Linked DNA regions of Cricetulus griseus. The protein of the gene in region 1 purifies or fractionates together with the protein of each later gene. This does not show direct contact. Links are inferred from orthologs where the notes say so. Each region holds a gene or a part of one and is shown in the gene's direction. Other genes may lie near its edges.

Region 1 (3,500 bases):
CATAGATATATGGGCGATAGGCTGCATATTTGCTGAATTGTTGACTTCAGAGCCTATTTTTCACTGTCGTCAGGAGGATATAAAAACAAGCAATCCTTTTCATCATGATCAACTAGATCGGATATTTAGTGTCATGGGGTTTCCTGCAGGTAATTTGTTGCCCTTTCAAAATACTATTTTGAGTTATATTTCAAAAGTGTTCCTTTGTAAGAGCATGCATAAAGTTTGTTGTATGTTTATTTTTAAACTAAAAGAATTAGGAGACTTTTAATAAGATACTTTTCTATTAAAATTTTTTTTTAAGATAAAGACTGGGAAGATATTAGAAAAATGCCAGAGTACCCAACACTTCAAAAAGACTTTAGAAGAACAACGTGAGTAATTCTGGATTACCACAGTCCATGTGTGCTGGGAAAAACAAACGAAAATCTGAGATAAGTAATTCCCGAACACCAGGAATTAATTTTCTGATAGTTCCAGAGGCTGGAAGTCCAAGATGAAGATGCTGTCAGGCTTGGTGTTTATCTGTCTGCTCTCTGCTTTGAAGAGTGCCCTTGTTGCTGGTGGGAGGGCAAAGAGTGGGAACTGTGTAATATCTCTCCTTCTAAGATGTTAATGCCATTCAAGGATGCAGAAGCCTCCATAACCAACACCTTTGAAGGCCTCCCTCCCTTTGATACTTACATACTGGGGATCAGATTTCAGCATGAGTGTTGAGAGTGATATAAATACTCAGGCTCATTAGTTATAGAGTGTAGCTTCAGTAGGAAAAGTTAGCCCTTTTCAAAAAGGATATAGATTTAAACCAGCAATTCAGGTGTTAGTTGACCTTCATGTCTGTAATTTAAAGCATATTCCAAATGATTTTAACATATATATCCAATTTAGGGCTGTGATTTTTAAAAACAAGGGCCAGGCCTGATGGCACACATGTTTAATTCCAGCACTTAAGAGGCATAGGCATGTGGATCTCTCTGAGTTTGAGACCAGCCTGGTCTACAGAATGAGTTCCAGGGCATCCAGGGCTACACAGAGAAACCATGTCTCAAAAAAAAAGAAAAAAAAGAAAAAAAGAAAGAAAGAAAGAAAAGAAAAGAAAATAGAAACAGTTACAGTTTTAACATATTAAAGGTCTCAGTTCAATACTAGAGCTGTGGTTTTATTCCTGTCTGAGTAATGGTTGATGACCGAGATGCTGCAGTGGGAAACTAGGACAGATGGCAAGGAGGAGCCATATGGTCCAGGATCTGAATAAAGCAAACTGTGTATGTTGAGTAGAGGCGAAGGGAGTGCAGAGGCAGTAATAAAACCCAGGGTTCTATAAGGAGCAGAACTGAGGGACAGAGAGTGTTTGCTTTGTTAGATTGCCTTATAGGATGTAGTCCGTTAGTCCAACGATTGGTCATCTCATAGTGGAGAGGATGAGAATTGGGTAGTTGTTCAGTCTGCAGGCTGGTGACTGTCTCAGCAGTCTCAGTCTGGAAGATCCATGGAGAGCTGCCTGACTTCACATCGGCATTCCAAAGGAGTTGTTTGTAACACTGGTGAAGAAACAGCAACAGTAACAGAATAGGAAGACTTGCCGTTAAGAGTGAGGACAAGCAGGCAAAAGCAGTTTTCTTCTTCATGTGTTTTTATCTGGGCTGTCACCAGGGAGATGTTGCCTGCATTTGGGGCTGGGCAGGGCAGGGCTGGGCTGGGGGGGTGGGGGCTGTGTCTTCCTGTTTCAAATAATCTGATGGAAGGAAATTCCTCACATTCCCAGCACCTCCTTGGTAGCTCACAAGTGTCCATGACTCCAGTTTCATGACGTCTTATACCTTCTTCATGCCTCCAATGGGCACTGCATGAGCATGACACAGAAATACGTGTGGTCAAAATGCCCATACACAGGAAATAATTTTTAAGAAAAAGAAGGGACTTGAGAGATGCCCTTTTAGCCTCTGCAGAAAAACACCCATACACATTAAAATAAATATATAAATAAAACTAATGGTGATAGTAAAACCCCTCACAGGAGTACCACAGTTTACCACCAGTAAAACTGAAGTTTCCAGTTTGTACAGCTTACATGTCCCTTGCAAAGGCCAGGGAGGTGGGTAGAAGCAGCAGGAGCCTGGTGACCTGAATGTGGAAAGCTGGGTGTGATGTCCCTCTAGCCCCTATGTGTTGGGGCACATGTAAACACAAATATGTCTACCTACCTACTTACACACAAATGCATGTCTTTTTAAAAATGTACCAAGCTTGGGACTAGAAAAGTATTTTAGATTTGAGGGTTTTGTTTTTTTTTTTTTTTTCAAATTCCAGAAGTGCTTTGGATTTCAAATTTTGAGGTTAGCTCACGGACCTGCATATATCACTCAACATTTTACCCATTTTTAAATTCACTTATTAAATTGCTGTGATCATTTGGATATTAAACTGCTGTGATAGTTTGGATGTGATTGGCCCTCATAAAGTCATAGGGAGTGACTCTTAGGAGGTGTGGTTTTGTTGGAGTAGATTTGGTCTTGCTGGAGGAAGTGTGCCACTGTAGGGATGGGTTTTGAGGTCTCGTATATGCCCAAGCCACACTGACTGCCTCAGTCCATTTCCTGTTGCCTGCAAGATGTAGGACTCTCAGCTACTTCTCCAGTACCATGTCTGCCTGCGTACTGCCATGTGCCACCATGACGATGGACTAAACCTCTGAAACTGTAAGCAACCCCAATTAAATGTTTTCCTTTATAAGAGATGCTGTGGTTATGGTGTCTCTTCACAGCAACAGTAACCCTAAGATAACCGCCAATGGAATCTCAGCCTGAAATAGAACCCCCGTCTGCCCTCTTAATCCTAAACCTCTGTGCCTTATATTTCATGTCCTAAGAAATGGCTCCATGATTCACCTAGTTGTCCAAGCCCAAGGCCTCCTGTTTCACTCTCATGCATTTGACTTTCCCTTACCTCTCCAAAGGATTAGCAGAGCTGCTCGATTCCTTTTTTCTAGAAATGCTTGGAATCTGTTTCTGCCCATCAACCTTGCCAGTATAGTTAGAACAGCGGCGTGCTCTGCTTACAGTTCCGCAGTGGCCTTCCTGTAGTATTTCTATCCCTGTTCAATCTGGGTGTGGTAGCACATGCCTTTAATGGCAGGCTGAAGAAGTCTGATCTCTGAGATAGGCCAGTCTGGTCTACATAGTGGAGCTCCAGAGCAGCCAGGGTCATAATAAGCCCCTGTCTCAAAACAAAAACAGCAGCAAACAATAGAAATCACTAAAGCAAAATATGTTGAAAACTGCAATCTAGAAACTACTTTATTTCAATAAAATATTATTTCAAAAGTAAAAGAATATTATCTTGCTTTTATCAAAAATAAAGAACTTCCAAAATACTTTGCAAATTAATTGCTAAGAATGACAGTAGATTTTTTTTTGTAACTGTTCTAAAGTGTCAGCTCCAGGTAGCTCATTAGAAAACAAGGCAAGGCTAAGGGAGTCAGGCTGTTCACTAGAAAGATG
Region 2 (4,206 bases), about 230 Mb from region 1:
TAAAGAAGGAGACAGGATCTGGGAAGTTAAGACTGCTGTGACGGTTGCAGGGCTTTTCCAAAAAGCATGGACGCTAAAGCGAAATCAACTCATGCTATTGATTACATTCCAGTTGATGAGCTACAAAAACCCGCAAAGTCGGTCAGCTTCAGCGTGGCCCAATGAAAATCGCAACTAATACCCCAAACACGAAGTTTTGTCATTACAACCATCTCTAGATCTGTGGGTGGGAGATGAGGATCAGGATGACATCTGAGTAAACAAAACAGCTACGGCCTCCTCGAGGCTCCGGAGGGTGGAGGCTGCTACGCGCCTGCCCTCTGGGCCTCGGTCCCGCGCCCGCCCGCCCCTCACCTCTGGCTCCGGGCGCTCCGAGGCCATCACACAGCCCTCCCGCGCCGGCCCGGGCCAGGGAGGATGCTCCACTCCTGACCTCTGACCCAGCTAGCTCGGTACCGGGCAGGAACCGGAAGTCGTAGGGATGGCCGCGTTCTGAGTTTTTTGATTGGTGGGCACAGACGGCGGCGCGAGAAACCGGAAGAGGAAGTGGTTGCGCCAACCGGGCCGTGGCAATGCAGGTGAGAAGCCGGTTGGGCCTCCCAGCCGCTAGCCACCGGCTGGAGGGTGGGCGGGCCGAGGACTCTGGGAAGTTGGAGCTGTGAGGATAGGGCAGAGGCCTCGGCTGTTTGGGGAAAGGCGGCGAAGCCGGAAGGGACGAGGACAGCTGCGGGGGGCGCGGGGATTTAGCGCGCTAACGCCAGAGGGTCAGAGGCGTGGGTTAGGGGGAAAGGCACGGCCGACTTGCTTGACTGTGTGAAAGGATCGAATTGGCATTTGGGAAGGCTAGAGAAAGAAGTGGGCTGGGACAGCCCTCGACCTCGACTGTTGGGCACAGGCGCAACAAGGCTTCAGAAGGCTGAAGGGATTGTGGGCCGCCAAGGACGAAAACTAAGCAGTTTGTAATCCGAGGCTGTGGGTGGAACCTAGTATCCAACCTCATCCTTCACATTCTCGGGTTTGCAAATCAGCTTTGTGTCATTCTTCCCGCCTTGTACCCCGTTGCTTAGGGCGCAGAAGTGGAGTAAATAGACCACAGATGGTCAAACGGAAACCCTCTGCCAACACAGCATTTAAAATTGTCTAACGTCCAGAAAGAATGTGTTGGTTTCCTCGCCTTTGTCTTCCATTACTCAGTTTGTTGCACCTGGTATTCCTACAGTGACTGTTTATGGGTCACCCGAGTTTACGAAAGAGACACTGGAATACTGGCACAGAGATGCAGGAGTACACATTGACTCAGCAAAGGACCAGTTGGGGAGGGGAGCTGCAGAGCTGGTGTTCAGAGACAGCCTCAGATACGGGCAAAATGTGAGATTCTCCAGATTGTGTTGAGAGTAGCTGCACTCACAGGGCAGAGGATAATGGCTTGCATGTACTATAGAGGCACCCATGAGGTAATGAGATAATGAACCTCAGGTGTGCCTTCTGGCCTTATATGCCGACAGCACCCCTGTTACCTTGGCAAACCTTTCTAACATGTACTGAACTTTCTGAAAGAAATGTGGCAATACCAACTCCACAGAATGACACAATACAAGGATTCTCTATATGCCCAAGGAAAGCAGAGTTAGGACATCAAGCAGCTGCGTGGTAGGCAGACTGTTTTCCAGAAAAGGCTAGACTTAACAAAGAAGATTGTGCTTTGGCTTGAGCATCTGCAGATTAAGAGAATGTTGGCTTTTAAGAGAGGCAGTCTTTTGAGCTGGGAGGAGAAGAGAATCGAAGTGAAAAGATGAAGGGCTAAGTGATAAACAGTTCTAAGCCAGTTTTGTTATGAAGACAAAATGGTGAGGTCATAAGCAGAAGGGAATTAGGTCTGGTGTAATGTTCCTTTTGAAGGGCCATAGTGTAGGAGGTTGATAGAAGGAATCAATTGGTAAGAGGACTTCAGGCCAGGTGAACAGGTTGAAAGGTCTAAGGGTTGATGCTGTCTGTAACCCAAATACCAAGATAGAAACCAATTTAGCTTTTCTGTATGTGCCACGATCGCTCGTATCTGAGTAACCAAGCATACTGTTGATGCAGAGGGAGGAGAAGCAGCTTGAGGCATCCTTAGATGCACTGCTGAATCAAGTGGCCGATCTGAAGAATTCACTGGGGAGTTTCATTTACAAGTTGGAAAACGAGTATGACCGGCTGACTTGGTAAGGATTGCCAGGGCAAGCCGGGGAGGGAATCCATGGGTGGTGGGGCCAAGCCCCCGGGCTGACAGGACATCTCCAATGATGTAACTATTTATCAGTTTGCAAATATCCTTTTTGATTTGGCAAGAACTAGGTTGCCCAACATTGACAAGTATAGTTTGGCTTAAAGCCTCCATGGCAAGGAAGTAGAGAAATGCCCAGTTTCCCAACGTAGGCTGTTTCGAGGTTTTAATTCTTACGCTTTGACTTCTTTGGTGAGGAGGTGTTCCCCCAGTGGGGAACCATTAAAGCTATATTCATGCTGGATCTCCTTCCACAGATGTGGCTGAATCTGAGATCCACCCTACTCTGGAATGATGGATTCTGTTAACTAGGCTAGAAAGGAGGCTTTTATCCACTTAAAGAATTTTTAGTTACCACAGTGTAACCACAGTTTCTGTTTTCCACTACCTCCAATCCCATTCAAACAATGAGTTACGACTGGCAGTGGTGGCACACACCTTTAATTCCAGCACTCAGGAGGCAAAGGCAGGTGGATTTCTGTGATTTTGAGGCCATTCTGGTCTACAGAGTGAGTTCCAGGACATCCAGGGCTACACAGAGAAACCCTGCCCCCTCACCCCCCCAAAAGGAAAAGAGTTGCTTTTTTTCTACGTCTGTGTGTCCGTGTTGGAAATTGACAGTGTGCTCCTCTTTCCCAACTCCATCATCTCTGCTAGAAAATCTGGTTCTTGCCTAGGCTAGTCATAGGGCTGTGAGTCTTCTGGGGGTGAGTCTGGGTGTTCCAGCATTAGAACTTTAGAGATTACTTTATAGGGAAAAGTAGTTCTGATGACTTCCTACCACCCGCAGGCCCTCTGTCCTGGATAGCTTTGCATTGCTCTCTGGACAGTTGAACACTCTGAACAAGGTCTTAAAGCATGAGAAGACACCACTGTTCCGTAACCAGGTCATCATCCCTTTGGTGCTGTCCCCAGATCGAGATGAAGACCTCATGGTAAGAAGAAAGGATTGAACCAGGGAAATCAGGTCCTTAAATGAAAGTCTGGAGCACAGTTGTTGATTGGACCCTCTGTATAGCAATGAAAAGTAGGGGCTGCTATCTGGAAGACTTGCTTTTTTGTCCTTCTGGAGTCAGGAGTCACTCTTAAATAATGTTGTGAAAGCCAAGGCCATGTCAACTAAGTCCATGACCTTTCTTTTCCAAAAAAAAGTCTGTTCTGCTTGCCTGTAACTTTGTCCAATCAGTCTTTAAAATGTGGGGTTAGGAATTTAGCTCAGTGGTAGAAAAAAGTCCTGGTTTGGTCCCCAGAATGGGGGTGGGGAATCACGAAAGACCAAAACAAAATAGAAACAACAACAAAAAGAAAATTACAGTGCGGTTGTGGAGGGTGGAATTTATTTTGTCCTAGTTCTGATAGAGTGTATGTGAAAAGACAAAGCCACAGAAAGCTACATTTGTGTCTCAGGTTGTGTTGTCTCTAAAAATGCAGTTTCCCACGGAAGAGAAACTGGGTTAGAATCGGCTTACTTGGATAGCACAATAGGATCAATACAATCTGTGTTACAGCGTCAGACTGAAGGACGAGTGCCTGTTTTCAGCCATGAGGTCGTCCCTGACCATTTGAGAACCAAGCCTGACCCTGAAGTTGAAGAGCAGGAGAAGCAGCTGACAACAGATGCTGCCAGAATTGGTGCTGATGCAGCTCAGGTTGGACTGAGTCACTGCCCTGCTGCCCCATCCCCATCCCTTCATAAGAAGCAAGACTTTACCAAGCCTGGGTAGTAGGAGTCTGTGGTTGGTTACAGCTAGGCTGCCTTTGGAAGAGCACAAGGAAGATGCTTTCCCAGAGTCATTTCTAATCACTACATCAATTCCTGTGTGTTGCAGAAGCAGATCCAGAGCTTGAATAAAATGTGCTCAAACCTTTTGGAGAAAATTAGCAAAGAGGAACGAGAATCAGAGAGTGGAGGTAAGGAGGCTGGTTGGCAGAACAGAGTG
Region 3 (2,897 bases), on another chromosome or scaffold:
ATCCTCTGATCCCTCACCCCACCCCCACTGTTGGCTTATAGATGCGCACTCTTGCGCCCTGCTTTACACAGATTCTGGGACATAAACTCAAGTTCTCCTGTCACTAACTGAGCCATCTCCCAGTTCCATGACCAGATCTTAAAAACAAAACAAGCAAGCCAGAAGTGTCAGGTGTCTTGAGAAGATGCATAAGCTCTTCCCAGTGTTCTCTCACGGACAGTAGTTTGGAAATGAGAGGGAGATAGAAGCCTCATCTGTAAGCCCTTGGCTTCCCAGCTCTCTGGTGGAACACAGAACAAGGGGCCTTGTGGTGGGTAAAACGTGTTGTGTAGCCAGGATCCCAGAGCTGAGGTGGCTAAGGCTGTGACCAAGAGTGATAGGGAGACCCTGTCCACCTCCATTTATTTTTCAAGTGACTACAACAGATTAACATTGAGAAACTGGTAAGGCCAAATGTTGGTAAAATAATTGGTACATTCTGTTCAATTCAGTATTGCCAGTATATTCTTATTGTGGCATTTAGCCAACATGAAACATTCAGACTTGCCTCATCGTAATGTTCAGTGGCCTCATGACCCTGGTGGCCGCCATGGTTGGACAGTGCAGGTGTGAAGGAATGCAAGGTGGGCTGTACTGGCTTCGAGTCTAACCCCAAGCCTTATGGCTCAGAAGCTGACTTCTGTGTTCTCCCTGGCAGGTTTGTACTGGAGCAGTACAATGCCCTATCCTGGCTCACGTGCAATCCGGCCACCCAGGACCGCACTTCCTGCCTTCCCGTCCACTTTGTGGTGCTCACGCAGTTGTACAATGCCATCATGAACATGCTCTAACTGGGAAGCGCTTGTCCCTCTGCCTCAGCTCCTCCCGCAGCCTCAGCCAAGGAGCCTGCTCCACTCTACAAATGCCCGGCCTTTTTCAGATCACTCCCCACAGCCCTGCACTGTGACGCCTTCTGAGCAGGCTCATGCTCATTCTGCAGTGTTCATTGCCACAGTGACTCCTTGATGTGTCTCAAGAGGACCTGAAAATTTCCCTAGGAAGGGACTTGAGCCAATGTGTGATGTGTGCAGCCTGCAGTCACCAGGAAATGGTGGCTGTTGGTGACTTAAGAGGGAAACAGAAGACACACTGTCCTTTTGCACAAGAGTCTGCTCTCAGCCTCTGTTAGTGTCAGTCTGTCCAGCCCTCTGGATGCAATCCTCTAGCCAATGGTGGATGCCTGTGGGTCACCCGGACTCCATAACCTGGGACGCGTCACAACTAAGAGCCAGCTCCATCCAGTACAGGATTTAGTACTGGGGTCTCCACCTCTCCAGCCTGTCAGGAGGGCTTTGGTTGGCAGCACACCTTTGTAGACACAGGAGGTCTGGAGACAGCTGCATTTGTTTATTTATTTTTTGTTTTGTTGTAAGGTTTTTGCAACTTTCTTTTTTTCTAATCTTGAGGACCAGGTACAGTCGCTGAAACCCACCAAGACCCACCATAGGATTCTCTGACTACATACCTCTGTCCTAGAAGCCAGAAAAGGAGTGAGAACAAACTGGGGAGACCATGCCTGAAAAGCAGTGTAGTCATAACCACCCAGCAGTAGACGCTGGTACAAACCATCAGGGTCCGAAATGTTCTGCTGTGCTATGTGGCCCGCGTTTGTGTGAATTACACTTGTATACAAAGGCAGTCAGGCTCAGCCCCAAGCTGGAGGCAAGGACCTTAATCACTTCTCTATACAGTCACATGGAAACACCTTTTCTAGAGAATTCTTACAGAAACCCAGGTCTCTTCTTTCATTAGATCAAAAGGGATTCGTGTACATATCACAACCCAAAGTGTTTGTTCAAAACACTTTGTAACAAAACCAGTTACAAACATGGTGATTTTTTTTCTGGACCATAGGAATATTGTTTCAAAGAAATAGTACAACTCAACCATTAAATCAGTACTTGAAGCTGAGCCTCTATGTGGGACTTTAAAAAAAAAATGCCTTTTTAAAGCATTAACAGCTGATTGAAGTATTTTTGACTCCCCCTCCCAGACCTTAGGGTTGACTTTGAAGCCCTGTTTCTAGCCCTTATGTTGTATGTTTCTGTCTGCGGGTAGTGGATGTGGACTGGCTTCCAGAGTCGCCTGGCGGGCACTGAGCCCGGCTTCCGTGGGAGAGTCCTGCAAACTAAGTTCTTCCAAGAGACTTTCATGTCCTGGTTATTAACAAAGAAAAAAAGGAAAAAAATGTAATAATTGATATGATTTTGTAAAAGTATTTTTCTTGAGATAATCTAACGTTTAAAACATTATATTAAATAACACATGGTGGGAATGTGAAAGCAGAGAAATAACTTGTAAATGGGTGATTGTTCTCTGTCCCACCAGCTGGGGGGGGTTGACTTTCCAATGTATAGCTTAAAAAAATCTGATCTATCAAACCATTTGTATCTAATGTGTACAGTGTAAAATTGACTTAAAATACCGCAGTGCTATTTTTTCTTATCAGAGAGGAAACCCTCAAGGCCTTTTGAAGAACGTAAGATGATGGGGATGTAAACTTGTATAGAGTCACCCCGGTGAAAACGGACTGTAAAGTACATATTTGTAATCTTTTACCACTTGGGGTTGCTTTTTCTCAGAATTCATCAGAACTTTGAATATCTCTCTCTCTCTTTTTTTTAAATGGGCTGTTTTTACTGCAGGGGCTTTTCTTCCCTAGAAACCCAACTCTACACAGAAAAAGAAAAAAAAAAGGAAAAAAAAAACACAAAAAACCAGAAAAACACTATAAAAAGTTTTAAAAGAAGGCAGCAAAGGGTAGTTTTCATCTGGTGTCTTTTATTTAAGTTTTTTAAGTTAAGAAAAGCTGGTGACATATTTATACGTTTTTGTGCAAAAATAAATGAATGGCAATA
Region 4 (2,174 bases), on another chromosome or scaffold:
TCCAGGCTGCCCTGGTCATTGGTTGGTAATTTTTTTCCTCAGCAGTGAAGCTTCATGATACAGTGACAGATGTCATAAGAGCCTCTTCCTCCCACCACACCCCTTTATTTTCAGGATGCTTTGTATGGGTTTATCTTTGAGAAATTAACAAGTGCTAGTGTCTTTTGTGCTCAGAAAGGTTTTTTGTTTGTTTTTATTTTTTTCAATGCCATTACTGTAATTATGGGTACCTGCCTTCTGCTGGAATGGTGTGCCTTTCTAGATGTCTGCTGCACAGACCCTCTTCCCCCAGATGGGCAGGGAGGGGGTGGCAACAGAAGATCCTAGGCACAAAGCAAAAACAAGACACCCTGCACATCCATCCGTAGGCTGTTATCTTTCTTTTGCCTCAGCAGACACCCAGCTGATGTGTGGCTGCCCTAGCTTCCAATCCCCTCAGATTTTATTTATATATGAAAAAGAGTAACTTGTTTATTTAACTGCTCTGGAAAGCACCAAGGAGATAAAGGAAAACAATAGGGGTGTTAACAACATAATCTTTAATTAGAAAATAATTGATGGCCATTCCCTTTTTGTAAATGTTAGTTTTAAATCTGAGATCATCTTGTCTTGGACCCTGTCCTGTCAGAAGAAGGAAAAACATACTCTGAAGTCACTGATGGTGGTTGGGGGTAGTGTTGTCTGGTTCTGCTCTGAATCTGTGTTCTGTTTCTTTAGGTTCTTGATTGTCGACAATGGGTGAACCACAGCAAGTGAGTGCACTCCCACCACCTCCAATGCAGTACATCAAGGAATATACAGATGAAAATATTCAGGAAGGCTTAGCTCCCAAGCCTCCCCCTCCAATTAAAGACAGTTACATGATGTTCGGCAACCAGTTCCAATGTGATGATCTTATCATTCGCCCTTTGGAAAGTCAGGGCATTGAACGGCTTCATCCTATGCAATTTGATCACAAGAAAGAACTGAGAAAACTCAATATGTCTATACTGATTAATTTCTTGGACCTTTTAGATATCTTAATAAGGAGCCCTGGGAGTATAAAACGAGAAGAGAAGCTAGAAGATCTTAAGCTGCTTTTCGTACATGTGCATCATCTTATAAATGAGTATCGACCCCACCAAGCAAGAGAGACCTTGAGAGTAATGATGGAGGTCCAGAAACGGCAACGTCTTGAAACAGCTGAGAGGTTTCAGAAACACCTGGAACGAGTAATTGAAATGATCCAAAATTGCCTTGCTTCTTTGCCAGATGATTTACCCCATTCAGAAGCAGGGATGAGAGTTAAAACTGAGCCAATGGATACTGATGATAACAGCAATTGTACTGGACAAAATGAACAACAAAGAGAAAATTCAGGTCACAGGAGGGACCAGATTATAGAGAAAGATGCTGCCTTATGTGTCCTAGTTGATGAAATGAATGAAAGACCATGAGTATTTTTTCTTTTAGTGAATAGCATCATATATTAGTTTATTTTCTCTTGGACAGTCTTAAGAGGTATAACTAAAAATATAAAGGGACTTTTCTCAATTGAAATGCTGTAGGTGATAATTTAACAGTAAGGATAGGCAAGGAAGTATATTTGAGTAATGATCATAAAAAAGCAGAATGTTTGCTATTGAATGGGATAGTCCTATTTTTGGAAGTGGAATAAAAATTTTAAGAAATATTGAACTGTCATTCTTACGGGGGAGTTATTTCCTTTAAGACTAATAAAGGGCATCAAACTGTACATGTGAAATTACAAAATGTTTAGATTTATTCCAAAACAATACAGGAACTATTTTCCTGATGACTGTTCTACAAACTCAGTATCACAGCCGCTTCTTCCTTATCTTCCATAAAATATCTGCTAGGGGCTTCCCCTTCCCCCCAGTCAGGTAATCAGTCTTCGGTCACTAAGTTTATGTTCATTTTAGACATTAAAATATCTTATGTGCTAACTATATTTCCTGTGTTAGCTGTCTATGTGAGTGTGAGTGCATTTCCTGCAGAGGCTAAAAGGGTGTTGGCTTTTTTTGGAGTGAAGGTGGTTGAAAGCCATTTCTGTGGATGCTGAGAACCAAACTGGTACTATACAAAGAGCAGAATGTGAGCCACTGAGTCATCTCTCTAGCCTCTGCATTATTCCTTTAAAGCCGACGTCTGGTGTTAAATCTGGAAGTTTGCAA
Region 5 (3,500 bases), about 19 Mb from region 1:
ATGGGTAGTAAAATGCTGCCTAGTCTAGGTTTTCAAAATGTTTTTTTGTTTGCTTTGTTTTGTTTTGTTTTTTGAGAAGGACTAGGCAATCCAGAAATGTCTTTTCTCTCAGTTTTCGAGTATTGGTGCAAACCTAAGACAATACTATATAGGCCAAAGAAAACATGTCTGTATGGCAGCTCTACAAAAGCCGTGCTTTTTTCTCTCATATGATAAACATTGTAAAAGACCATATGTTGTAGTACTTGTGCATGTGACAAATTGGAGCGAAGCCCTGCTAGAATCAAGCACTTGGGTCTTTGCAATAATTTATTAAATAATTTGGTGATAAATGTTTTATTATTCCTCAGCAATGCTTAGTTGCCTATTTGAGAGGAGAAACAGACTAAAGGTGCCCAAGCATGCTCTTAGGTCTTGTATGGAGAGGTTGCTCTTCCAGAGAAGAGGGATCCCTCTGCATTTTGAACCAACTACACCCCTAGCCCTAAAGCACCAGAGAAACCATAGTTCATTTCCAGTAGTTCAGGCCATCATTACCAAGTGTCCAGCACAGCTTAGACATGTTAAGTGAGCTAAGTCCATTGGAACCATTTCATTTCAGATTTATAAGTTTATTTATAAATTGTTGATGACTAGAATGCCCTGTGTTTATGTAGACACATTTTTTTTTATTTTGTGCTTTTTTTCCTCTTCAGCCTTATACACAGCATTGCAACCAGAGTGATAAAACTTGCTCATGCAAAATCCAGTGTCGCCTTAGCCCCAGCTCTGGTGGAGACTTACAGTCGCTTACTGGTCTACATGGAAATAGAGTCTTTGGGCATCAAAGGATTTATCAGTAAGACAAGCTTCACTGCTGTTTCTGATGACTAACATGTTCATTAATTTAAGGAGTACTCTTTAGGTGCTCTCAGAGGATGCAGCAGGCATGAGGCCCACTGCTGAGGACAGACAGGGGACAGGGAGTAAAGCAAGCAACTGAGAGAGATGCACTGTGACAGACAGTGTGTGATAGAGAAGAAAGCAAAATGTGCGACAGGAGAGCTTCTTAATGTCTGTGGGGAAAGAAGCTTGTTTGGAAGTAGCATGGCAGGAAAACGACAGTAAGCTAGGTGCTCAGGTGGGCTGCTCAGCTTAACGTCCTCTCCCATGCAAATGAATTCTTAGAGGCCGAAGTGCTGGGTGAGGCTAGTGCTAAGGCTGGCTGGCAGTAGAGAAGGACTTTCGGACACTGCAGAAGACAGTGCTAGCTAGTGGTTAGCAGTTCTACATAATAGGTGCTCTCTAACTGGAAACATCTTTGTGATTCATTTCACCAATAGCCTGAATTTTAACCATAGTCACTCTTTTTCTCTTAGATGTGAATCCACCTTTCTTTGGATGGAAGAAAGAATGAACAAGGAAAGACGTTAGCTTTTTTGTTCTGGTTTGCTTTTTGGCTTTTTTTGAGACAGTATCTCCTACATAGTCCAGTACAAGCTGGCGTCTCACTTTTTATGTTGGTGAACCTGGCTCCGAACTCTTGATTCTTGCCTCTACCTCCCAAGTGCTAGGATTAAAGGTAGCTGCTACCACACCTTGCCTTTTTTTTTTTTTTAATTAAAAATTGAATCTGGCTAGGTAGTGGTGGCACATACATCCTGCCAGCACTTGGGAGGCAGAGGTAGGTGCATCTCTGAGTTCAAGGTCAGCCTGGTCTACATAGTGAGTTCTAGGACAGTCAGAGGTACACAGAGAAACCCTGTCTCAAAAACAAAAAAAACAAAAAAACAAAAGTGACTGTTATAATTGTGCTAATTGCAATGGTGTACACCTGTAGTCTCTGCTGAGGAGGTTAAAGCAGGAAAATTACTTGAGTGTAAGAGTTCACTGCCAGCCTAGGTAATGGAACCCTTGGGTTTAATTTCCAGCACTATAAAAAAGAGAGAAAGGAATGTCTCTCATACTCAAAATTCATAAATCTTGACTATGGAAATATTGTAAAAGATAACTGAGAAGCAAGGCAAGTTGGCAGTTTGATGGGCTTTTATTCTTTTGTTTGGTTTTGTTTTTTGTGTGTGGTTGCTTTCATTTAATTTTCCCATCTTAACTTGAGCCTGACTTATCAAACTCTAGAAAGGAAAGATAAATTCAATGTGTATGTAGGCTCTGATTTTTTCACCCCTACAAGTAGAACTGTGTATGTACTTGCGTGTATATGTTATTATAGTTACATTTTTGTATATATCCTGAGTGTGATATTCTTCAAATATCCAAGTTTGTCCCTTTTAGTAACTGGTGCCTGGAATTCTTCTTTCTCCAGGTCAGCTCTTGCCTACTGTCTTCAAGTCGAACGCCTGGGGCATTCTGCACACCCTTCTGGAGATGTTCAGCTACCGCATGCACCACATTCAGCCTCATTACAGGGTGCAGCTCCTCAGCCATCTCCACACGCTGGCTGCAGTTGCACAAACCAACCAGAACCAGCTCCATCTGTGGTGAGTGCTACAGACTGCCCTTCCTCGGGTTTGGTACGCTTGTGCTTTCAAGTGGGGGACTTAATCCCCCACCCTCTTTTTTTTCTTATTTGTTGTAAAATTAAAATTCTGTTTCTAAGATACTATAATTCTAACACAGTAGTGGAATCCAAGTTTTTAATAGAAGTTGTATTTAAATACACTTCAAGTCATGGTTAAAGTGTCATTTTAATTTTGATATAAATGAAAATATGTTTCAGATGGGGGAGGTAACACAGGGTCTTGTGTATTGTAAGGTGACCTTGAATTCATTTTTGTAGCCAAGGCAAGATTTAAATTCCTGATCCTCCTGCCAGTGCTTCCTAAATGCTGACCTTGCAAGTGTGTGCTACTTACCCAGTAAAAATACAATTACTGACGTGTTGTTTGTCTCGGAGGGTTTTCATCTAGTCTATAAGCTCTTTCTTGTCGCATGTGTAAAAGGTCAGCTACTTCTGATTGTAAAATTTAGCATCAAACAGGGAGGTTTTTTTATGTCAAAGAAAGGTAATGTATAATCTTTGTGTCCTTTCAGTTTAATAATTCTACAATTGGATCTAACTGCATAAATGTGAACTGTGCTTTCTTGCTGCTTTCAGTGTGGAGAGCACTGCGCTGAGGCTCATCACAGCTCTAGGGAGCTCGGAGGTCCAACCGCAGTTCACACGTTTCCTCAGTGATCCCAAAACGGTGCTGTCAGCAGAATCTGAAGAACTGAACCGAGCCTTGATCCTCACCTTAGCCAGAGCAACTCATGTCACAGGTAGAGACCATGATCCTGACCTTAGCCAGGGCAACCATGTCACAGGTAGAGACTGTGAGAGCCACATTAGCAGATGAAGTGTCTTGCTCCTCTCAGGCCACAGTGGCAGACTGTACTCAGGAGGTGCCCGTTCTGCCATCTCCATATGATCAGTTAATAATGGAAGCTCAGGGCACCACCATTCTAACTAAGGGTTTTGTTTCATAACTGCTTTCAAACTAATTTGAAATTCCCAAAGATTT
Region 6 (3,611 bases), on another chromosome or scaffold:
CAACCAGGTGAGCCCGCCTCCCGCATCAGCCCCGCCTCCTGGTCAGCCTGCCCAGCCAGGAGAGCCCCAGCTGCTCTCAGCTTCCCTCCCATCTCCCCCCACAGCCTCTGTTTCCATGAGCGTTACTGTGAGGCTGCCTCCCACTGACGGTGCTCCTGGCCCAGAAGCGGGTGACTCTGCCTCTCTGTCTGTCCCAGGTCATCTGAGCCTTCAAGGGCCTGGGCTGCAGGATCACAGGTTAAGCCACTGGCTTCCTGGGTTCTGTGGGAGATTAAGACAGCCACACTAGGGGGCTGGAGAGATGGCTCAGAGGTTAAGAGCACTGACTGCTCTTCCAGAGGTCCTGAGTTCAATTCCCAGCAACTACATGGTGGCTCACAACCATCCGTATGAGATCTGGTGCCCTCTTCTGGTGTGCAGATATACATGGAAGCAGAATGTTGTATACATAACAAATAAAATCTTAAAAAAAAAAAAAGCCAGCCACACTTGCCTGATGGGTGTCTACCAGGTCTCTAACAGCACCAAAGACATTGGACTGGTCATTTCTTTTTTCTTTGGTTTTTCAAGACAGGGGGTCTCTGTGTAGCTTTGGAGCCTATCCTGGCACTCAATCTGGAGACCAGGCTGGCCTCGAACTCACAGAGATCCGCCTGCCTCTGCCTCCTGAGTGCTGAGATTAAAGGCATGAGACACCAATGCCAGCTTTTTTTTTTTTTAATGTATATGTGCTCCATCTGTATGTATTCCTGTACACCACAAGAGGGCACCAGACCTCATTATAGATGGTTGTGAGCCACCACGTGGTTGCTGGGAATTGAACTAATGACCTCTGGAAAAGCAGCCAGTGCTCTTAACCTCTGAGCCATCTCTCCAGGTTTGGACTGGTCATTTCTGAGCCACTCTTGGTCTGTAGGGCACTGAGCATAGTTCTGGCCTTCCCCAACTCCGTGCCCACTGTAACCCCCTGTGGTGAAGGTCACACTGCCTCCAGACCTCACCCAGGGTCCAAGGGTTAGCTGGTGACTGACAGGCCCATACCCACTCACAGTATCTCTGGGGCTGCACATATCCAGCACTCATCCCCAGTGTCCCCACCACAGGGCTCCCCACTGAGGCCAGGACACAGCTTCCTGCGAGATGGTACCTCTCTGGGCACGCTGCGAGAGTTGATGGTTGTCATCCGTATCTGGGGCCTACTGAAGCCCAGCTGCCTGCCTGTCTACACAGCCACCTCGGACACTCAGGACAGCATGTCTCTGCTCTTCCGGCTACTCACAAAGCTGTGGATCTGCTGTGAGACCTTGTGCCCTCTGGTCATGGCTTCCCACCAAAACACAAGTTCAGGCCTAGCCCACCACCAAAGTTTAGACTTCTCACTATTTCCCTAGTGCTTGGGGTGCAGGTCCCTAATTCAGAGGGCAGACAGAGCCCTGGGGAGGCGGCTGTGGGTACCGTGTGGGTGACAAAGTGGCTTCCTGGGAAGGCTGTTGAGTGTGGTGACCTCCATCCCCTCCCCACAGGCCGTGATGAGGGCCCAGCCAGTGAACCCGATGAGGGCTTGGTGGATGAGTGCTGTTTGCTGCCCAGCCAGCTGCTGGTGCCCAGCCTGGACTGGCTTCCTGCCAGCGACGGCCTGGTCAGCCGCCTGCAACCCAAACAGCCCCTGCGCCTGCGCTTCGGCAGGGCACCTACTCTGCCAAGCAACACCTCCACTCTGCAGCTGGATGGCCTTGCCAGGTGTGCTCACCTGCCCGTCCTGCCTTCCCCTCATGCTCTGCCCTGCCTTGATCATCCTGCAGCCCCTGAAAGTGTCCACACCACAGGTTCTCTCAGACAGGGGTTCCAGCATATTCTAGAACCTGGTGTGTCTAAGGACCAAGTTCTGTTTCATCAGGTCTCTGCCATTAGAGAGAACTTTGGCATTCCAACCTTTGCTGTGTGCATAGAGGTGTTTGGTTTTTTTTTTTGTCTCATGTAGCCCAGGTTGGCCTCAGACTCCCAGTGTGGGAGGAAGGTGGCCTTGAACTCTGATCCTCCTGCCTCCAGCTCTCATGCACAGCTTTGGGTGTAGAATTCATTTATTCCCACTCACTGATTTGTGGAGGCTGCAGTAAGCAATGCTGGTCTCAGGATTTGCTGATGCCCGTCTCATGGTGAGGCCTCTGCCCCCTCCTTTTTGTACGTGTTCTCATCAACCCATATCCAGCCATGGTTGGAAGGTTCTAGGAAGGCCCCGTCTCACCAGGAAAAGGCCATCGGCTATTGCTTCTTATGGTTGAGCCCTGGCTGAGATGGCATTGTGGACCCAGCCCCCACAGACCCTCACTCCCCTCTCATCCCCAGGGCCCCTGGCCAGCCAAAGATCGACCACCTCCGGAGGCTGCACCTGGGCGCTTACCCAACTGAGGAGTGTAAAGCCTGCACCAGGTGAGTGGCTGTGGCCAGACTCAGGGTCCCCTCTGCTTCCCGCCTGGGCTGCAGACAGAGCCTGGGATCTGTAGGGCCAGGCAGCTTCAGGAGGCCTTTGGGCATGGTCTGTCATACCCGGGGTGTGGATGGCCAGGGCTTGGGGTGCTCCATTTTGCCTGCTGGCATCACTGCAGGCAACAGTATTTCTGGAGTTGGTGGGAGGGTGAATATCACCAGTCCCTGGCTCCCCAGGTGTGGCTGTGTCACCATGCTGAAGTCACCCAACAAGGCAACAGCCGTGAAGCAGTGGGAACAACGGTGGATCAAGAACTGCCTGTGTGGGGGGCTGTGGCGGAGAGTGCCCCTCAGCTGTCCCTGAGTTACAGCCATGCTCTGAATAGATGCAGGGACCTTCTGTGATGGAACATTGACATTGCTGTCCTCGTCAGAGGCACTGGCTCCCACCAACAACCCCGGGTCTGCCTCTTCTTGGGGGTACAAGGCTTGTGCCACCTCCAGGGCCTTAAGTCCCATGGTCACGCCCAGGCCAGCTTGAAGGAGCTTGGCTGTGTGTCGGTCCATTCTTCAAAAGGCCACAGTCCATATGCTCCTGTCCAGGTTGGGATTGTCTCCCTCAGTTTCCCTTTTGGGCTTATGGGAGTGGAAGGCAGGCCCAATAAAGTCCTCTTGTACACCAGGCATTTGCTATCACGATGGCCCCCACCACTTCTACCCACCAGGTGAGGCTCTGTGCTGAGGGGCCCACTTGGATGGAAATTGCTGGGACCATAGAGAGCTCTGCCCCTCCCCACTGCCTCTCATCTCCTGGTCTCTAGCAGCCTTTGCTGTTGGTCCCCAGGGGTCCGGCCTGATTCAAGCTTCCCCATTGCATCTGCCCCCTGCAGTCAGGAGCCTCAAGACCCAGGCCTTAAAGATCTTGGTAATTGGTTTTGTTGTTTTCTTCTTGGAACCCTGTGGAGCAGAGTGCAGGGCAGTGGCCACTCATGACCTGGGACTGGGGAGGGCTGCCTAAGTCCTCTGCTCCAGAGGGGTCATGTTCCACCTCACCGTGCTCTGACACAGCTTGTGAGAGGAGCCACAGACAAGATAACAGGGCCTGGTAGGATCCCCCATCCTGGAACCAGCTTTACTCCCCTACATTTTATTATGTAGCTGGAGATAATCTTGAACTTTTGATC
Region 7 (3,500 bases), on another chromosome or scaffold:
TTAATGTTATATTCTCCATATTTTCTCCAGAATCTTGAGCAGTGGACATTGAGACAGTCCTGGCTAGAGCTTCAATTAATGATCAAACAGTGCTTGAAGGACCCTGTGAGTATATGTTGAAAGCACACATGTGGATCAAATCAAAAAGCAAAAGAGTCATTGATATTTGAAAATCAAGGCTAACTTTATTTCATTTCCCTGACTCTAGAGTTCTGGTTCTGTGGCCGAAATGAACAACTTACTGGACAATATTGCAAAGGCAACGATAGAAGTGTTCCAGCAGTCTGCAGACCTAAATAACAATGCCCCAAGTTCTGGCATAAGCCTCTTCAACCCAAATGGTATTGGAAGTGCTGATACAAGTAGCACAAGACAGAATGGAATAAAGACATTTTTAAGGTATTGCTTTAAGTGACAGTTGGGTTATTCGACAAGTTAAAGGGCAAAGTGAGTGATGTCTTGGCACTTTAGGTATTTTGTTGTAGGTCCAGATACTTTGGAGCCAGAGATGAACTTAAGTTTGATTTATAGTATTACTGACTTTGGGCCAGTCATTAAATATGAAATACTCTCTATGTGTCTTTATTAATTGGTAGTTTGGGTACAAATACAGTAATTTGCATTCATAATAGCACTTGATGTGATTATGAAATCATAATGTAATTGTTTTCATTATGAAAGACAGATTGGTTTGCATACCATAATTTTGGTAAAAGAGTTCAATAGTGAGTTTTAGAATTTAAAGATTGGTTATTCCTTGGCTTGAACATGTGTCCATGACAGTGTCCATAGAAAAGGGTGGTGAGTGATCAGAAATGAGGGATCCAGGAGAGTCACTGAGAACTGTTTAGTATGGAAAATATCTTCCCAGAACAGCACCTCTTATTCCGCAATGAATGTGAGTGGAATGTATAAGCAGTAAGCAGATGTCTTGGTCTTTAGCAAGAGGAGAAAGTACAGACATGATAGGGGAATTTTAGAAGTCTGTGTCCTACTGGCTTACTGTTGGGTTTTTGTATTGACTGTGAGAGCAGAGACCAGCTGCTTTGTTAGGTGTAACGCCTGTTTCTGATTTTAGTTCCTCTGAACGCAGGGGTGTGTGGCTGGTGGCCCCCCTCATCGCCAGGCTGCCAACCTCCGTACAGGGAAGAGTGTTGAAAGCTGCTGGGGAAGAGCTGGAGAAGGGGCAGCACCTGGGCTCTTCTTCAAAGAAGGAAAGAGACAGGCAGAAACAGAAAAGGTATGCTGGTGGATGCCTTCCATCAGGTTAGCATCTGAATGAAGTCTAGCCTCCTGCATCATAGCCATGCCATACTCAGTGTCCACAGTGTCTGTCTGGTCTTGTAGTAATGTTTAGTGCACCAGTTCCCATTCCTGCCTATGTGTCCAAATCACTGCAAAGCTGTTGAAACATGGGTTTGCTGTTAATTCTGACCTACAACCTTGAAATAATTACTGATTTTCTAAAATTTAGGAATCTTGCTCTGTACTCTTGTTTAAGTAGTCATAACAACTGCCAAAACTGTTTTTATGACCAAGAAAAGGTTTCAAAGAATTACTTTTGGAAATAGATCATATTATTGAGGCTGAATATTTATCCTATAAATTTAGCATCCAAGTAGTTTTAAAAAGAAAAGTCATAATTTCTCCATTTTATAAAAATTTAAAAACAGAGATTCTTGTTGCCTGTTAATAATACTGCCATGACCATTCTTTATTGGCCATCTATGAAAAGGAAGCTCCTGATCCAAAGTTTTGGCTTAGATCCATTCTTTCAGAAAATTTTATTTTTCCTATATCAATCAGTTTATCCATTGTTCCCTAACTGAAGATATTTTATGAACATGAAAATTGAAAGAGAATTTTTGCCCCTTTTCCAGTGGAGGCCATGGGCTGTGTCAGAACCTGGCTCTAGATATTTCCAGCAAGAACCTTGCTTTTGGAGGCTCAGACCTTGTGTCCACCCCTGACTTTACCAAGACTATGCTGTTGGTCTTTAAGAAATATACAACAAAAACCCATAGGCGTCCAAAATATTCAAGGTTCACAGGGACATGTGCTTCCTAAAGGAGAGTTTTGTTTGAGGAACTTCTCAATTTTTCTTATTAATCTTTGTGTACACTTGTAGTCTTTGTCATATATATTTAAAAATCTCCCTAGTAACATAAAGCAGGCTCATGACATCGACTGTAGGTTTCTGTTGCCTTGGCAATACCTTACAGAGCAATAGAGCATCGTCATTCACAAGCTTCTCCAGTGGCTTTTTAATCTTGTAAAGTACAGAAATGTGTTACCTTCCTGAGTTTTCTCTGGTGGTTTGCCATTCTGTCCTTTGTCTAGTAGTAAATAAACAAGGGCAGGGAGTCTACTAGACAGATTAACTGTTGCACCAGGGTGCAAGCCATTCTTTCTAACTGTTACTACTTCCTTTGTAGTATGTCTCTTTTGAGTCAGCAACCTTTCCTCTCCTTGGTCCTTACCTGCCTTAAGGGGCAAGATGAACAACGGGAAGGCCTCCTCACATCTCTGCAGAATCAAGTCAATCAGGTAAAGTGCAGTGTGGTACTAAGCCAGGCAGTATCTTTCTGATTGTATTCATTATTTTCCTTTCAAATATGAGATGAGACAGACGTGTCTATCAATGAGGTGCTAGGAAACATAATCCATGTCCAGTTCTGTCTAGCATCATGGTCAGCCTGAGGCTAACAACTTTGTATTAAGTATGCATTGATGGATATATAAAGACTATTAAAGTAAGTTGTCTCATACTGCTTTTTAGGTAGTTTGCCTGGAATCCTGGAGAGCAGAAAAAAAAATTAGAATGTGTAGAATCAAAGAAATGTGTTAGTTGGTGGTGTGAGCTGGTTTATCCTGACACAAAGCCTCCCTGTGATGTTAAGTAGGATTTGATGACATGAGCAAGGCCACTAGGCTTACTTGGTTTTCTTTGTCATCACACCCACTGCATATGAGAAGAAATCTTTTCTCTGCCTAGCTTCCAGAGTGAGCCATTTAAATACAAAGTATTCATGTTTTCTCATAATTCCTAGACTACAGATTCCAGGGCTGAGCTAATAGAACCCTTCCTGACTGGACATTTGCTGTTTCTCCCACCTCTTCTCCCTTTCACTCAAGCCTTGCTAGACTGTGGCTGCCTTCCAGTTTAGGTGCTTGTGCTGGAACAATGCCTTTGAGACATTAGTCTGACCTGCTCCCTCCCTTCCTGCTATTCTCTGCTCACCTTGCCTCCTTAGTAAGGCTGTGGTCACCTTCTAAGTATTTCTGCTCTCATTCTTTGTCCTCACTGTAGTAATATCTGTTTCACCTTCCCCTCTTTCTTTAGTGCTGGGGTTGGATCTAGGACCTTATGCATGCTAGATAAGCTTTCTGCCACTGAGTCCATTTTTAGCTTATTGAGACAAAGTCTTGCCCAGCTGGTCTTCATCTCTCTCAGTAGGCCACATGAACCTTGAACTTCCAACATTTCAGTGTCAGCTTCC

What was found.
Region 2: the proteins of Cdk19 (region 1) and Med8 purify together in Homo sapiens (affinity purification with mass spectrometry; 6 studies listed by BioGRID and IntAct, counting the BioPlex papers as one, with this or other methods). This does not show direct contact. The link is inferred for Cricetulus griseus from reciprocal best matches to the Homo sapiens genes CDK19 and MED8.
Region 3: the proteins of Cdk19 (region 1) and Med13l purify together in Homo sapiens (affinity purification with mass spectrometry; 5 studies listed by BioGRID and IntAct, counting the BioPlex papers as one, with this or other methods). This does not show direct contact. The link is inferred for Cricetulus griseus from reciprocal best matches to the Homo sapiens genes CDK19 and MED13L.
Region 4: the proteins of Cdk19 (region 1) and Med7 purify together in Homo sapiens (affinity purification with mass spectrometry; 5 studies listed by BioGRID and IntAct, counting the BioPlex papers as one, with this or other methods). This does not show direct contact. The link is inferred for Cricetulus griseus from reciprocal best matches to the Homo sapiens genes CDK19 and MED7.
Region 5: the proteins of Cdk19 (region 1) and Med23 purify together in Homo sapiens (affinity purification with mass spectrometry; 5 studies listed by BioGRID and IntAct, counting the BioPlex papers as one, with this or other methods). This does not show direct contact. The link is inferred for Cricetulus griseus from reciprocal best matches to the Homo sapiens genes CDK19 and MED23.
Region 6: the proteins of Cdk19 (region 1) and Med16 purify together in Homo sapiens (affinity purification with mass spectrometry; 6 studies listed by BioGRID and IntAct, counting the BioPlex papers as one, with this or other methods). This does not show direct contact. The link is inferred for Cricetulus griseus from reciprocal best matches to the Homo sapiens genes CDK19 and MED16.
Region 7: the proteins of Cdk19 (region 1) and Med12l purify together in Homo sapiens (affinity purification with mass spectrometry; 3 studies listed by BioGRID and IntAct, counting the BioPlex papers as one, with this or other methods). This does not show direct contact. The link is inferred for Cricetulus griseus from reciprocal best matches to the Homo sapiens genes CDK19 and MED12L.

Annotation. Positions count from the first base shown.
Region 1 is NC_048595.1:263,010,347-263,013,846, forward strand, and holds part of Cdk19 (cyclin-dependent kinase 19), read left to right. Parts: intron 1-5; coding exon 6-149; intron 150-304; coding exon 305-374; intron 375-3,500.
Region 2 is NC_048595.1:33,902,819-33,907,024, reverse strand, and holds the start of Med8 (mediator of RNA polymerase II transcription subunit 8), read left to right. Parts: upstream 1-1,406; 5' UTR 1,407-1,421; coding exon 1,422-1,454; intron 1,455-2,085; coding exon 2,086-2,204; intron 2,205-3,056; coding exon 3,057-3,201; intron 3,202-3,774; coding exon 3,775-3,915; intron 3,916-4,095; coding exon 4,096-4,177; intron 4,178-4,206. Other genes in the region: KICSTOR complex protein SZT2, read right to left, coding at 355-381. UniProt on the Homo sapiens protein: Component of the Mediator complex, a coactivator involved in the regulated transcription of nearly all RNA polymerase II-dependent genes.
Region 3 is NC_048597.1:98,644,605-98,647,501, forward strand, and holds part of Med13l (mediator of RNA polymerase II transcription subunit 13-like), read left to right. Parts: intron 1-697; coding exon 698-830; 3' UTR 831-2,897. UniProt on the Homo sapiens protein: Component of the Mediator complex, a coactivator involved in the regulated transcription of nearly all RNA polymerase II-dependent genes.
Region 4 is NC_048600.1:60,992,662-60,994,835, forward strand, and holds the end of Med7 (mediator of RNA polymerase II transcription subunit 7), read left to right. Parts: exon of another isoform or gene 1-21; intron 22-717; 5' UTR 718-734; coding exon 735-1,436; 3' UTR 1,437-1,674; downstream 1,675-2,174. UniProt on the Homo sapiens protein: Component of the Mediator complex, a coactivator involved in the regulated transcription of nearly all RNA polymerase II-dependent genes.
Region 5 is NC_048595.1:244,070,302-244,073,801, forward strand, and holds part of Med23 (mediator of RNA polymerase II transcription subunit 23), read left to right. Parts: intron 1-695; coding exon 696-838; intron 839-2,302; coding exon 2,303-2,477; intron 2,478-3,094; coding exon 3,095-3,258; intron 3,259-3,500. UniProt on the Homo sapiens protein: Required for transcriptional activation subsequent to the assembly of the pre-initiation complex. Component of the Mediator complex, a coactivator involved in the regulated transcription of nearly all RNA polymerase II-dependent genes.
Region 6 is NC_048598.1:100,693,907-100,697,517, reverse strand, and holds the end of Med16 (mediator of RNA polymerase II transcription subunit 16), read left to right. Parts: coding exon 1-7; intron 8-1,103; coding exon 1,104-1,296; coding exon of another isoform or gene 1,297-1,316; intron 1,317-1,523; coding exon 1,524-1,740; intron 1,741-2,346; coding exon 2,347-2,430; intron 2,431-2,664; coding exon 2,665-2,791; 3' UTR 2,792-3,111; downstream 3,112-3,611. UniProt on the Homo sapiens protein: Component of the Mediator complex, a coactivator involved in the regulated transcription of nearly all RNA polymerase II-dependent genes.
Region 7 is NW_023276806.1:92,245,073-92,248,572, reverse strand, and holds part of Med12l (mediator of RNA polymerase II transcription subunit 12-like protein), read left to right. Parts: intron 1-30; coding exon 31-105; intron 106-208; coding exon 209-399; intron 400-1,078; coding exon 1,079-1,240; intron 1,241-2,435; coding exon 2,436-2,547; intron 2,548-3,500. UniProt on the Homo sapiens protein: May be a component of the Mediator complex, a coactivator involved in the regulated transcription of nearly all RNA polymerase II-dependent genes.